Linked DNA regions of Anolis sagrei. The protein of the gene in region 1 interacts with the protein of each later gene in a biochemical or structural test. Links are inferred from orthologs where the notes say so. Each region holds a gene or a part of one and is shown in the gene's direction. Other genes may lie near its edges.

Evidence for each region.
Region 2: of the proteins of STAT3 (region 1) and PTPN1, one has a biochemical effect on the other in vitro, tested with the Homo sapiens proteins (2 studies listed by BioGRID and IntAct). The link is inferred for Anolis sagrei from reciprocal best matches to the Homo sapiens genes STAT3 and PTPN1.

What each region holds. Positions count from the first base shown.
Region 1 is NC_090026.1:36,809,239-36,816,405, reverse strand, and holds the start of STAT3 (signal transducer and activator of transcription 3), read left to right. Parts: upstream 1-4,154; 5' UTR 4,155-4,267; intron 4,268-7,167. UniProt on the Homo sapiens protein: Signal transducer and transcription activator that mediates cellular responses to interleukins, KITLG/SCF, LEP and other growth factors. Once activated, recruits coactivators, such as NCOA1 or MED1, to the promoter region of the target gene.
Region 2 is NC_090024.1:222,417,881-222,425,177, forward strand, and holds the start of PTPN1 (tyrosine-protein phosphatase non-receptor type 1), read left to right. Parts: upstream 1-4,289; 5' UTR 4,290-4,474; coding exon 4,475-4,693; intron 4,694-7,297. UniProt on the Homo sapiens protein: Tyrosine-protein phosphatase which acts as a regulator of endoplasmic reticulum unfolded protein response. Mediates dephosphorylation of EIF2AK3/PERK; inactivating the protein kinase activity of EIF2AK3/PERK.

The sequences.
Region 1 (7,167 bases):
TATAGTGTGATAGGGTCCTCCCTCTCTACACATAACAGTAGTGCACATTAAGGACTGTGTCAAGCAAAAATACTCAGAGATGGGGATTGGCAGTGGCCACTTACTTCTTACTGACTTACTGTCTCTCGTCTTAGCATTGTCGGAAGGAGGACGTGGCCTTCCTGCATTACTCAGAGAAAGGTAGAGCAAATGAACTGGAAATCCCATTCATTCTCTTTCTCTGCTTAATGGGGTTGGGATGTTGTGAGAGACTAAGCCAGCAAAATGGGAAGGGCTGTAGTTAATATTGTGGTTGAGGTCACACATTCTGTCTTAACCATGTGCACATCAGTTTGGAAAAGCCCTTGGCATGAAACCTTGGAGAGCCACCATACCTGGATAGAAATACTATTGCTGAGTTGACATAAGGCAGTTCCCAGAATCTGTATAGGACAGATACTTTGACCTGCTTGCCTTGGGTTTACTCACAACTTAAATGACTTACAGATATTAAATTAATATCAAACAACCCTAAGCTACAAGTTTGGGTAACGCTACAAGGTAAAGGTAAAGGCTTCCCCTGACATTAAGTCTAGTCATATCCGACTCTGGGGGGTGATGCTCATCTCCATTTCTAAGCCAAAGAGCTGGTGTTGTCTGTAGACACCTCCAAGGTCATGTGGCCAGCATGACTATATGGTATCTATTGATCTACTCACAATTGCATGTTTTCGACCTCCAAGGTTGGCAGAAGCTGGACCTCAAAGCGGGAACTCACCTCACTCCCCCGATCCGAACTACCAACCTTTCAGTCAGCAAGTTCAGCAGCTCAGTGGTTTAACCTGTTGCGCCACAAGGGGCCCTTTGCTACAATGGGACCCCTTAAAATTGGAATACTTTAGGGCAGCAGTTCCCAAACTATGTTCCATGGAGTCTTAGGGTTCCAACAAAGCATTATTATTATTATTATTATTATTATTTACATTTCTACCCAGAGCAGCTTACACTGGCAACAGTTTGATACTGCAACAATATGACAACTATAACAGCAATATAAACAATAAATAAAACAATATAATTTAAAACAGTTAAAACATTATTATCATAATCATATAGCCATTTATATCATTATCACAACCATGTAGTCCAGTTCGACATCCAAGGTGCTGTCACGCCTGCTGGCCAAAAGCCTGGTTCCAAAACCATGATTTTAATTTCTTCCTAAAGGAAAGGAGGGATGAAGCCGACCTGATCTCACTGGGGAACGAATTCCACAGGCAGGGGGTCATCACCGAGAAGGCCCTGTCCCTCGTCCCTACCAAATGCGTTTGCAAAGCTGGTAAGACCGAGAGCAGGGCCTCCCCTGACGATCTTAAACTACAAGGCGGAACGTAGAGAGAGATACGTTTGGATAAGTAAGCTGGGCCGGAGCCATATCCAAAAATATTTCAAATCTTTAAAAAATATATTTAAAAATCTTTGCCAGAATACGAAGATCTTATTTCAATTCAATATACCTCTGCTGTAAAAGTGAAATTTGGATCTCTTAGTTTTCAAACCTACAATATACAAAACAACCAGATAACAGGAGTAGATGAAACAAAGAAGCACTTTGTGGGTTCACAGTGCTTAGGCACAGAGTTATGGTTCTGCAGGAAAATCAGGGTTCTGTGGGGGAAAACATTTTCTGAATGGTTCCATGACCAAAAAAAAGTTTGGGAATTGCTGCTGTGGGACATCTTGATTTCAGCTCTGTGATCCATCCTATCCTTGCCATTGGAGGGGCAGTGAAATGGCAAAGGCAGTTCTTTGTGCCAAGGGCAACTTCTCTTTTATGCAGTGACATTTCTTCTGGGTGACATGGCAACAGGGATTGGGCCAAGCAGCAAACTCAGTTCCCTCCAGCTGAGAAGGAAATAAAATGGGAAGTCTTTCAGAGCAAGGAGAGCAAGAAACTACCACCTAATCTTGCAAGCCATCTCTCACTCACCTCTGCCCTGAGGAGACTAAAGTGACAACTTCCTCCTTTCTCTTGTATTCTCTCTGTCTTGGGTCACAGTACAGAGAATTTGGGTAGATCTTGGAAGATTAAGTTAGGAGACAATTCTGAGAAAACCCTATTCAGCAAGGGCCAAAGGCCCAGAACAGGCATGTAGCCGGCCCGGGGGGGGGGGGGGCTTGAGGATTACCTGGGAAGGAATCCCACTGGAGCACTGCAGCACATCCAAATACCTGGGAGTCACCCTGGACCGTGCTCTGACCTACAAGAAGCACTGCCTGAATATCAACCAAAAGTGGGCGCTAGAAACAATATCATACGAAAGCTGACTGGCACAACCTGGGGATCACAACCAGACACAGTGAAGACATCTGCTTTTGTGCTATGCTACTCTGCTGCTGAGTACGCATGCCCAGTGTGGAACACTTCTCACCACACTAAAACAGTAGATGTGACTCTTAATGAGACATGCCGCATTATCACGGAGTGTCTGCGCCCTACACCACTGGAGAAATTACACTGCTTAGCTGGTATTGCACCACCTGATATCCGCCGGGAAGTAGCAGCCAATAGTGAAAGGACCAAGGCAGTGACATCTCCAGCTCATCCCTTCTTTGGGTATAGCCAGGACGTCAATGACTTAAATCAAGAAATATTCTAAGATCTACAGAGACATTCGCTGGAACACCTCAGCAAGTGAAAGTCCAAAAGTCACAGGCTCAAACCCAGAACCTTAACCACTGGCTGATACCAAATTAGAGACTCCCCCCTGGACACACAGAAGACTGGGCAACTTGGAAGGTGCTGAACAGACTGCGCTCTGGCAATCTTAAGAAATGGGGCTACAAAGTGGAATCCATGACATGCGAGTGTGGACAAGAGCAAACCACAGACCACCTGCTGCAATGCACCCTGAGCCCTGCCATATGCACAATGGAGGACCTCCTTGCGGCAACACCAGAGGCCACCTTACTTGGATCTGTGTGCATCATTCGGAAATACATCATTTGCTGTGACATACTGTATTTTTGTGTCAGTAAAATAATAGTAGTAATAATAATAATAACAATAATAATAATAATACCCACCAAACTCTTCCAGTGTGTTCTGTTGGTCATGGAAGTCATGGAAGTCCTGTATGCCATGTTTGGTTCAATTCCACCATTGGTGGAGTTCAGAATGCTCTTTGATTGCAGGTGAACTATAAATCCCAGCAACTACAACTCCCAAATGTCAAGGTCTATTTCCCTTAAACTCCATCAAGGTCAATGCCCACCAAACCCTTCCAGTGTGTTCTGTTGGTCATGGAAGTCCTGTATGCCATGTTTGGTTCAACTATAAATTCCAGTAACTACAAATCCCAAATGTCAAGGTCTATTTCCCCCGAACTCCATCTGTGTTCATATTTGGGCATATCGAGAATTCGTGCCAAGTTTGGTCCAGATCCATCATTGTTTGAGTCCACAGTGCTCTCTGGATGTAGGTGAACTACAACTCCCAAACTCAAGGTCAATGTCCACCAAACCCTTCCAGTTTTTTCTGTTGGTCATGGGAGCCCTGTGTGCTAAGTTTGGCCCAATTCCATCATTGGTGGAGTTCAGAATGCTCTTTGATTGCAGGTAAACTATAAATCCCAGCAACTACAACTCTCAAATGACAAAATCATTTTTTTTGAGTGGAGGACATACATTGGGTTGTTAGGTGTCTTGTGTCCAAATTTGGTGTCAATTCCCCCAGTGGTTTTTGAGTTTATATAGATTATATAGTATTGTATTATTATTATTATTATTATTATTATTATTATTAGGCTCCACAAGGGGATGGGATGGCTACCTAGGTGCACATGAAAGCCCTTCTCCCACTGCCTAGCCCACTCATCCCTATGTGTTCCTCTCAGCCAATCAGGAGCAGCCTAAGGATTCCAAACAGTCAGACACACACGCCCCCGCCCTCCGGGGCGAAGACAACAGCAGCGCTGCCGACGTCACACACTGCCCGGAACTCAGCTGGCTTTCCAGAAGAGCAGCGGGAGGAGGAAGCCGAGCCCGGAACAGCCCGGTGAAGAGTGAAAGCGGAGGCGCGCGCTGATTGGCCGCCGGAGAGCGCCCCCTGCCGAAGAACCCTCAGAGCGCGGCGGCGATTGGCCGGCTTCGATCAGTGTCGCCGCCGAGGGGGCGGGACTCCCCGGGAGCCAGCAGCTGGGGCAGGGCTTGGAGAGTGAGCCAGGCGGCGCTGGGGAAGGAGAGCCAGCGGAAGGGAAGTTCGGTCCCGGCGGAGGGGATTGGAAAGGTAGGCTGGAGAGGAGGCAAAGCATGTGCAGAGTGCAAACCTCTGAGATTGCTGCTCCTCTGCAACGAGGGGCATGGCTTCCAGGAAAGCTTGGAGGGACTTTCCCGTCAGTTTGAGGGCTGGGAACGGGAACACAGGAAGGAAACACGTTGCGGGAGGGAGGAGGTGGGTTTGCTGAGGGAGGGTGGGATTTGGAGTTTCCTAAGTACTACCAAACTTAACTATGGCATGCCTGATCTGCACTGTAGAAGGAATGCAGTTTGACATCACTTGATATTATTATTATTATTATGCTATAGAACAGGCATGTGCAAACTTGGGCCCTCCAGGTGTTTTGGACTCCAACTCCCAGAATTCCTAACAGCCGGGAGTTGGAGTCCAAAACACCTGGAGAGCCCAAGTTTGCCCATGCCTGGTAAAACAATACAGTATGCAGTTGTTGTTGTTGTTATTATTATTATTACTATTATTATCTGATACACAACAAGATTAGTACACAGCAAACAAGATCCCATTATTATTATTACTATTATTAGAATGCTATAGAACAGGCATGGGCAAACTTGGGCTCTCCGGGTGTTTTGGACTCCCAACTCCCAGAATTCCTAACAGCCTACCGGAGTCCAAAACACCTGGAGGGCCCAAGTTTGCCCATGCCTGGTAAAACAATACAATATACAGTTATCATTATTATTATTATCTGATACACAATAATATTAGTACACAGAAAACAAGATCACTATGTTGGCTTGTCTATTTGATCACATATCAGACATTATTGTTGTTGTTATTATGCTTATTATGCCTTCTATAGAATCACGAGAGCTGTTGTTGTCGTCATTATTATTATTATTATTATTATTATTGGTTGCTGGGAGTTTTCCAAACTGTCTGGCCATGTTCCAGAAGCATTCTCTCCTGATGTTTCACCTGCATCTATGGCAAGCATTCTCAGAGGTTGTGAGGCTTGTTCGAAACTAAGAAAGTGGGTTTTATATCCTCAGGATGCCTGCCATAGATGCAGGCGAAACGTCAGGAGAGAGTGCTTCTGGAATGTGGCCAGACAGTCTGGAAAACTCCCAACAACCCAGTGATTCCAGGCCATGAAATACTACTACTACTAATAATAATAAAACTTTATTTATACCCCGCCACCATATCCCCAAGGAGACTCGGGGTGGCTTACATGAGGCCAAGCCCAAGGGTACAGCAAATATACAACATAAATACATACAGTAAAATATAATGAGAATAAAATACAAAACAATATAACACATTATATTATATATTATAGTTATTATATATTATGGTTATTTATTTAAAGCCTGAAAAGAGACCCAAAGCGCTAACACAGGCATGAGCAAACTTCGGCCCTCCAGATGTTTTGGACTTCAACTCCCACAATTCCTAACAGCCTACCGGCTGTTAGGAATTGTGGGAATTGAAGTCCAAAACATCTGGAGGGCCAAAGTTTGCCCATGCCTGGTAAAACAACACAATATACAGTTATTATTATTATTATTATTTTGTACTCAACACGATTAGTACACAGCAATGCTGGGTTTTGCATTGGATCACACATCAGATATTATTATTATTATTATTATTATTTATACCTTGCTGATTCTCTCCCCAAGGTGACTCAAAGCGGCTAAAAACACAGGTAAAGGTAAAGGTTTTCCCCTGATATTAAGTCCAGTTGTGTCCAACTCTGGAGGGTGGTGCCCATCTCCATTTCTAAGCCGAAGAGTCAGCGTTGTCCATAGACACCTTCAAGGTCATGTGGCCTGCATGACTGCATGGAGCACCGTCATCTTCCTGCCGAAGTGGTACCTACTGATCTGCTCACATTTGCATGTTTTCAAACTGCTAGGTTGACAGAAGCTGGGGCTAACATTGGTAGCTCATGCTGCTCCCCAGATTTGAACTTGTGACCTTTTGGTCAGCAAGTTCAGCAGCTCAGTGGTTTAACCCACTAAACACTAAAATACGATTAAACATCACAACTACTTAGATCAACAGTTAAAACCTATTAACATGCCTAAAAATGCTATACAGTTTAACCAGCTGTCTCCGCCAAAGAGTGATGGCATCCTACAACTCCCATGATTCCATAGTATTGAGTCATGGCGGGGAAAGTGATGTTAAACTGCATTCGTTCTACAATGTTGACATACAGTTGGCCATTGAACCCACATCTGAACCTGAAATGTTTTTTTTGTTTCATATGTACTTCATATATACTTTAAGGGGCTGCAGTGGCACAGCGGGTTAAACCGCTAAGCTGCAGAACTTGCTGATCAGAAGGTTGGCGGTTTGAATCCGCATCCAGGGTGAGCTTTCGTTGTTAGCTGTAGCTCCTGCCAACCTAGCAGTTTGAAAACATGGAATGCCAGGGCATAGTCAATGAGGGCAGTGACATTATAGTTTCCGTTTCTTTTTTCTTCTGCACTTCTGGGGGCCACGGTGGTGCAACACATTAAACCGTTGAGCTGCTGAACTTCCTGACTGGAAGGTCGGCAGTTCAAATCTGCAGACAGGATGAGCTCCTGTTGTTAGCCCCAGTTTCTGCCAACCTAGCAATTTGAAAACATGCAAATGTGAGTAGATCAATAGGTACCACCTCAATATGAAGGGAATGGTGCTCCATGCAGTCAAGCTGGCCACATAACCAATGAGGCGTCTGTGGACAATGCTGGCTCTTCGGCTTAGTAATGGAGATGAGCACCATCCCCCCAGAGTCAGGCACGACTAGACTTAATGTCAAGGGGAAATCTTAACCTTTATACTTTACACACCCACTCTGAAAGTAAATGTATACAGTATTTTCAATATTTTTCCCATGAAATAAAGTTTATGTGCATTGAACCGTCAGAATGCAAAGGTATCACTCTCTCGGC
Region 2 (7,297 bases), on another chromosome or scaffold:
TGCAAATCACTATGGACTGTAATGGTGATACTGCCTAAAGAATAGAAAAATAATATAAAGTGCAGGGACATTCTGTGGCCCAGGCTGCCAACATCTTATCATCTCCTTTGGAAGACAGGAGAAGTGTGTGTTTTGTACCAAAGATTAGCAGCTTATAGAGTCAAATGATTTTTTTTAAAAATGAACAAGCCACAGGAAAATGTTTTGTGAATTCCCTCAGCACCTTGTCTTTGATGATTTCCAGGAATTTCAGTAGTAAGTGGAGTTTAATTTTTGTTCTTATGTGTCTATTACTTGTTCTGTTCAGGCATTGAATGTTTGCCTTTTTTTGTGATTGGAATCCGTCCTGAGTCCCTTCGGGGAAATAGGGCGAAATATAAATGAAGATTTATTTGTCTGTCTCTCTGTTTGTTTGTTTGTTTGTTTTAAGAATCAGCATACTATGGTGGTCTTAGAGTTGGACTATGACTCTTCAACTGTTACAGTTCATTACAATGGAATCTAGGAGTTGCGGTTTGGGGAAGCACCAGCACTCTTTGCTAGGGAAAGCTAAAGACTTTGTGAAATGACAGCCCCCATAATCCCATAGCATTGAGCCAGGACACTTAAAATTATGCTAAACAGCTTTAATTGTACAGTGCAAATGTACACAGGGACAATACATTGGTGCTTCTTTTGTCAATTTCATGGCTCATTGAGTCTGAGGGTGTGATTCAAAACAACAGGCTTTAGCACAGCTGGTTAATCACCAGCTGCAATAGATCTTATCCATTGAAAGGTTGGCAGTTTGAAGCCCAGGTCGGGGTGAGCACCCAACCTTCAGCCCAGCTTACTGTCCACCTAAACAGTTGAAAAACAGCTGTGTGCTGTGAGTAGAGAAATTAGGCACTGCTTTAAGCGGAGAGGTATTTTATGGCACCATAAAGGAAATACCAGAAAATCCGGTCAGTGGTTCCCTTGAGCTATAGTAAGAACACTTTTCCCCTGGGTGGATCTCTGGGCCCTTCCACACAGCCCTATAACCCAGAATATCAAGGCAAAAAATCCCACAATATCTACTTTGAACTGGGTTATCTGAATCCACACTCAGATGATGTGGGATTTTCTGCCTTGATATTCTGGGATCTAGGACTATGTTAAAAGGCCTTCAGATAACCCAGGACCCTTCCACACAGCCCTAAATCCCAAAATATCAAGGCAGAAAAGCCCACAATATCTGCTTTGAACTGGGTTATCTGTTCTTACCATACATCAAGGGAACCACTGACCACATAGGGAAGCTGATGAAGAAACACAACCTATACTCTATATTCTGGGATATAGGGCTGTGTGGAAGTGCCCTAAGAAAATCCAACAAATGCTAAGTTCTGCAAAGGACAGGAGTCTAATGTTTATACCATGCAGCTGTGGACAAGTCCACATAGGGACTACATTTATTTATTTATTTATTTACAGTATTTATATTCCGCCCTTCTCACCCCGCAGGGGACTCAGGGCGGATTACAATGTACATATACATGGCAAACATTCAATGCCATAGACACACAACATATATAGACAGACACAGAGGCAATTTAACATTCCAATTTTTCATGAGGGTGTTCTGGCCACCAGGGGAGCTGTTGCTTCACCATCCATTTGTGACACTGATAAAGTACTTCCTCATTCTTTACAGGCTTGCTGGAGATTTTTATGGCATTGTAAATTAGTTAAATTAGCCTCCCCATGTAGGTGGTACCTAAATTTCCTACTTGACAGATGCAATTGTCTTTCGGGCTGCAAAGATCGGCAGCAAGCTACACAAATTGGTCAGACACTCACTCCGACCTGGGCTGGCTTTGGACTCATGACCCTTTGGTCAGTAGTGATCTTAATGCAGTGACTCCCAGCCAGCTGTGCCACATTGAACTGGAATATATGACTGTGTGGACTCAGATAACCCAGTTTAAAGCCAATACTGTGGGATTTTCTGCCTTGATATTCTAGGATATAGGGCTGTGTGGAAGGACCTGTTGTCTTTACTCTCGTGGCTTGTTTAACATTCTTGATTATTACTACCTGTCCCCTGCCACGCATTGCTGTAGCCCAGTCTGTTGATCTCGAAAATAAAGTAATGAGAAAGTGTTGGTTTCTAATATATGTGATTTCTTTATGCTTGTGGATAAACAGTATTTCTTGCTGTTTCTTTGTCAGTGTTGATGTGGAGAATGTCTGGTTTGCCCACCCTGGAACATGCAAGATATCATTGTCCTTCTTTAGGGGTCTCTTTCAAATCTATGATACTATATCTGTGTGTCAATCATATCTATCTATCTATATCTATGGCTGGATGGCTCTTTGTCAGGAGGACTTTGATTACGTTTTCTTGCCCTGATGAAAGGAGTTGGATTGGATGGCCTTAAGTATTTTCTGTTGGTCATGGGGGTTCTGTGTGGGAAGTTTGTCCCGATTCTGTCATTCGTGAGGTTCAGAATGCTCTTTGATTTTAGGTGAACTGAGAATCCCAGTGACTACAACTCCCAAATGTCAAGGTCTATTTTCCCTAAATTCCATCTGTGTTCATATTTGGGCGTATTGAGTGCTTGTGTCAAGTTTAGTCCATCCATCATTGTTTGTGTCCACAGTGCTCTCTGGATATAGGTGAACTACAACTTCCAAACTCAAGGTCAATGCCCACCAAACCCTTCTAATATTTTCTGTTGGCCATGGGAGTTCTATGTACCAAGTTTGGTTCAATTCCATTGTTGATGGAGTTCAGAATGCTCTTTGATTGTAGGTGAACTATAAATCCCAGCAACTACAACTCCCAAATGACAAAATCATAATTTTTTGAGTGATGGTCACTCCTTGTGTTGTGAGACCTTTTGCTGCCAAATTTTGTTCATTAGTTCTTTTGTTTTTAAGGTACTCACTGTGCTATCGCACACTGGGCCTGTGCATAAGACTGTAGACAGGACATAAATTCTGTGTGCCCAACGGGACGCCGGGTCTGCCTCAGATTAAAGGCCTCCCCAAAACAAAGTCTTTAGATTGCTTAAAGGTTCAACAAAGTTCTTTATTGATGAAAACAAACAGGTACTTTAAAGCTTTCTTAACAGTCTATTGGCTCTCTCTCAATCTTGTCCACAGGGAACAGGCACTATCTTCTTAACTGTAATTAACTAATGGGGAAATCCTTAACTTCTAATCTGGGCAGTCTGTACTTGCCTCTGTTGGCATAGAGCCTCTACACCCGGTACCAACTGCTTCTGGCTTCCGCGAGATACCCTTACCAGACAGAGCTTTGTAGACTTCCAGGGGAAAAGAAGGAGTCCAGGTTGCTGTGATGGCTGGCTGAAGTCCCTCAGCAGAGGAGCTGTAAGGCTGTATAACTCCAGTCAGGCTGTAGGCTATATATCTCCCCGGCTAAGCCGTAGAAGATGAAGCTTTCTACAGGAGCTCTTCGTTTTATGTCCTGTGCGAAAGGCTTCTTTGTGAGAACTGACTCAAAAAGGCTACTATTCCCTCCAAAACTCAAAAAGGAGTGGGACCAGGGAACCTAACTATAACTGACAGGTGGCTTGCCTTATGATTGCAAACTATAACAGGAAGCCACCCTGCTGCAAAAGCCCAAGCCTGGGATTGCAAACAAACATTTAATGCAAAGCAAACAGAATTGAAGCTCCTGGTACAGCTGTACCAGCACAGATTGTCTGCCTTGATATTCTGGAATATAGGGCTGTGTGGACAGACCCTTAGTTCAAAGCAGATATTCTGGGATATAGGGCTGTGTGGAAGGACCCTTTGTCTTTACTCTCGTGGCTTGTTTAACGTTCTTGTTTAGTATCTGTACTCTTTGCTGAGTTTTTACAATAATGTCATATGATTATGAAGGAAGGCAATTTTGTATACAGCACTTTCTTCATTTTCAGGTCTAAGGAAAGGGCTAGACAATGTTGCTATTCCGGGGCAACACATTGTCAGTATGATCCGGTAGGCTGTTAGGAATTGTGGGAGTTGAAGTCCAAAACACCTGGAGGGCTCAAGCTTGCCCATGCCTGCTGTAGGATCATACTGACCGGTAGGCTGTTAGGAATTGTGGAAGTTGAAGTCCAAAACACCTCGAGGGCTGAAGCTTGCTCATGCCTCTTGTAGAGTATTGTGGGCTGAGAGTGGGCAGTCTGCACATGCCCAGAGGCGCTCTTGACGCCTTGGCTTTGCGGCTGCGTGGCGTCAGTGGCTCTTGGCCCTCCCTGTTCCCTTCCTCCCAAAGAAGCCCAGCCTTCTCTTAAACCCTCCTCTTGCTGCTTCTCTCTCCGGGAGGCCGGGCTTCTCTCCTCCCCTTCCTCCTCCTCCGAGCCGCGTGCGTCGTTTCCCGTGGGCTGGGAAAAGCCAGAGAAGGAAGGAAGGAAGGAAAGGAAGGGAAGGAAGAAGGGAAGCGGAGCCGAGGAGGAGAAGAAGAAGGAGGAGGAGGAGGAAGAGGAGGCGCCTCTCCATGCAGAGCAGGCAGGCAGAGCCGAGGCTGGAAGAAGAGGAGGAGGAGGAAGAAGAAGAGGAGGAGGAGGAGAAGGAAAAACCAGGGTCCGAACGAGAAGAGGCAGGAGCAGAGAAGAAGAAGAAGGGGGCCGGCCAGGCCTGGCCCCCCAACAGCATGGAGATCGAGAAGGAGTTCCACCGGATGGACGAGGCAGACAGCTGGGCCGCCATCTACCAGGTAAAAGGGGACTGGACCCCATTGTCTCACCCTTTCCCCGCCTTCTCAAGCTGGACAAAGCTCGGCCCTTCCCTTCCTTTCCCTCTCGCCTTCTTGCCCTGGCTTTCCTGGCCTTGGAAATGGGTCTCCTCCCCATTTCTCACCCCCAGGACCCACTTTCCCCATCCACTCCAGTGTGTGCAAGTGCAAACCCAGTAGATGCAAGCCCCCACTCATCCTGCCCTTGGTTTATGGCAGCTATGGGCAAACTTGGGCCCTCCAGGTGTTTTGGACTTCAACTCCCACAATTCTTAACAGCCGGTAGGCTGTTAGGAATTGTGGGAGTTGAAGTCCAAAACACCTGGAGGGCCCAAGTTTGCCCATACCTGGTTTATGGGGTGCTTGCATTGACATAGCTGCTGATAAGGGATTGTGTGAAAGTGTGTATCTTTGCACTAGCCATCCCCTGTGACCCAGACTGTGTATATATGTTTTGTGTGTGTATTTGTGTATCTCTCCCTAAGAACCATCTAGGCCAGTGTTTCTCAACCTGGGGGTTGGGACCCCCATGGGGGTCGTGAGGGGGTGTCAGAGGGGTCACCAAAGACCATCAGAAAACATAGTATTTTCTGTTGGTCATGGGGGTTCAGTGTGGAAAGTTTGGTCCAATTCTATCGTTGGTGGGGTTCAGAATGCTATTTCATTGTGGGTGAACTATAAATCCCAACAATTACAACTCCCAAACGACAAGGTCTATTTTCTCCAAACTCTACCAGTGTTCACATTTGGGCATATTGAGTATTTGTGCCAAGTTTGATCCAGATCCATCATTGCTTGAGTCCACAGTGTTCTCTACAAGTAGGTGAACTACAACTCCAAAAAACTCAAAGTCAATGTCCACCAGACCTTCCCAGTATTTTCTCTTGGTCTTGGGAATTCTGTGTGCCAAGTTTGATTCAATTCCATCATTGGTGGAGTTCAGAAGGCTCTTTGATTTTAGGTGAACTATAAATCCCAGCAACTCCAGCATTACCAAATGACAAAATCAATCACCCCCAACCTCACCAGTACTCAAATTTGGGCATATTGGGTATTTGTGCCAAATTTGTTCCAGTGACTGAAAATACATCCTGCATATCAGATATTTAGATTATGAATCACAACAGTAGCAAAATTACAGTTGTGAAGTAGCAACAAAAATAACATTATGGTTGGGGGTCACCACAACATGAGGACCTGTACTAAGGGGTCGCGGCATTAGGAAGGTTGAGAACCACTGATCTAGGCACTTTAAGATTGTCTGGAGAGGCTCTCAGTCCCGCCCCCTTTGCAGATACGATTGGCGGGAACGAGAGACAGGGCCTTCTCAGCGGTGGCCCCTCGGCTATGGAACGCCCTCCCTAGGGATATAACACTTCGAAAGAGAGTCGTGTGATGGGACTCTTCATTTTATCTTCCCACTAGCCGCCCCTTGCCACACGTCGCTGTGGCCCAGTCTGTGTATGTGTGTTTTGTGTGTGTGTTTATGTATCTCCCCCTATGAAGCACTTAAGATCATCTGGAGAGGCCCTGCTCTCAGTCCCGCCCCCTTCGCAGATGCGATTGGCAGGAACGAGAGACAGGGCCTTCTCAGCGGTGGCCCCTCGGCTACATTGCTGTGGCCCTGTCTGTGTATATGTGTTTTGTGTGTATGTTTATACATATCTCCCTATGAACCATCTAGGTGCTTAAGATCGTCTGGAGAGGCCCTGCTCTCGGTCCCGTCCCCTTCGCAGATGCAATTGGCAGGGAGAGACAGGGCCTTCTCAGCGGTGGCCCCTCGACTATGGAATGGCCTCCCTAGGGATAGTAGATCGCCCCCCTCCCTCCTAACATTTCAAAAGAGCTGCTGTTTGAGCAGGCATTTGCAGACACAGTGTAACAGACTAATTGAGATCCACCGAACGATTGGACGATGCAACAGAAAAATGATTTTAGTGATGAGACGCTGAGGACTTTATGGCTTTTATTGCTTTTATACGGTTTATATTATATGTAATGTTTTTAACTGTATTTAATGTTGTTTGGAGGCATTGACTGTCGAATGTAAACCACCTCAAGTTGCCTTTGGGCTGAGAGAGGCGGTATATAAATATGATAAATAAATAAATATATATATGTGCATATATGTGTGTTTGTGTTTATATATGTAACTAGCTGTCCCCTGCCACGGGTTGCTGTGGCCAGCCTGTGTATACATGTTTTGTGTGTATATGTGTGTATATATTTGTGTATATGTGTATATATACGAGTGTGTTTGCGTATATATGTGGTTTTGCACATGTATTGTAATATATTTTTTATTTTTGGCTTTTTAAGTCTCTTCCGCTGTGTTTTTCAGTGTTTTATGAGTGATGGTCACTTGTTGGCCTGATACGTGTATTGTGTCCAAATTTGGTGTCGATTCGCCCAGTGGCTTTTGAGTTATGTTAAATTAGTCCCACAAACAAACATTAGTTTTTTATTTATATAGACTAGCCGTCCCCTACCACACGCTGCTGTGGCCCAGTCTGTGTATATGTGTTTTTTGTGTGTATATATCTGTGTATATGTGTATATATGCGTGTTTGCATTTATATATGTCGA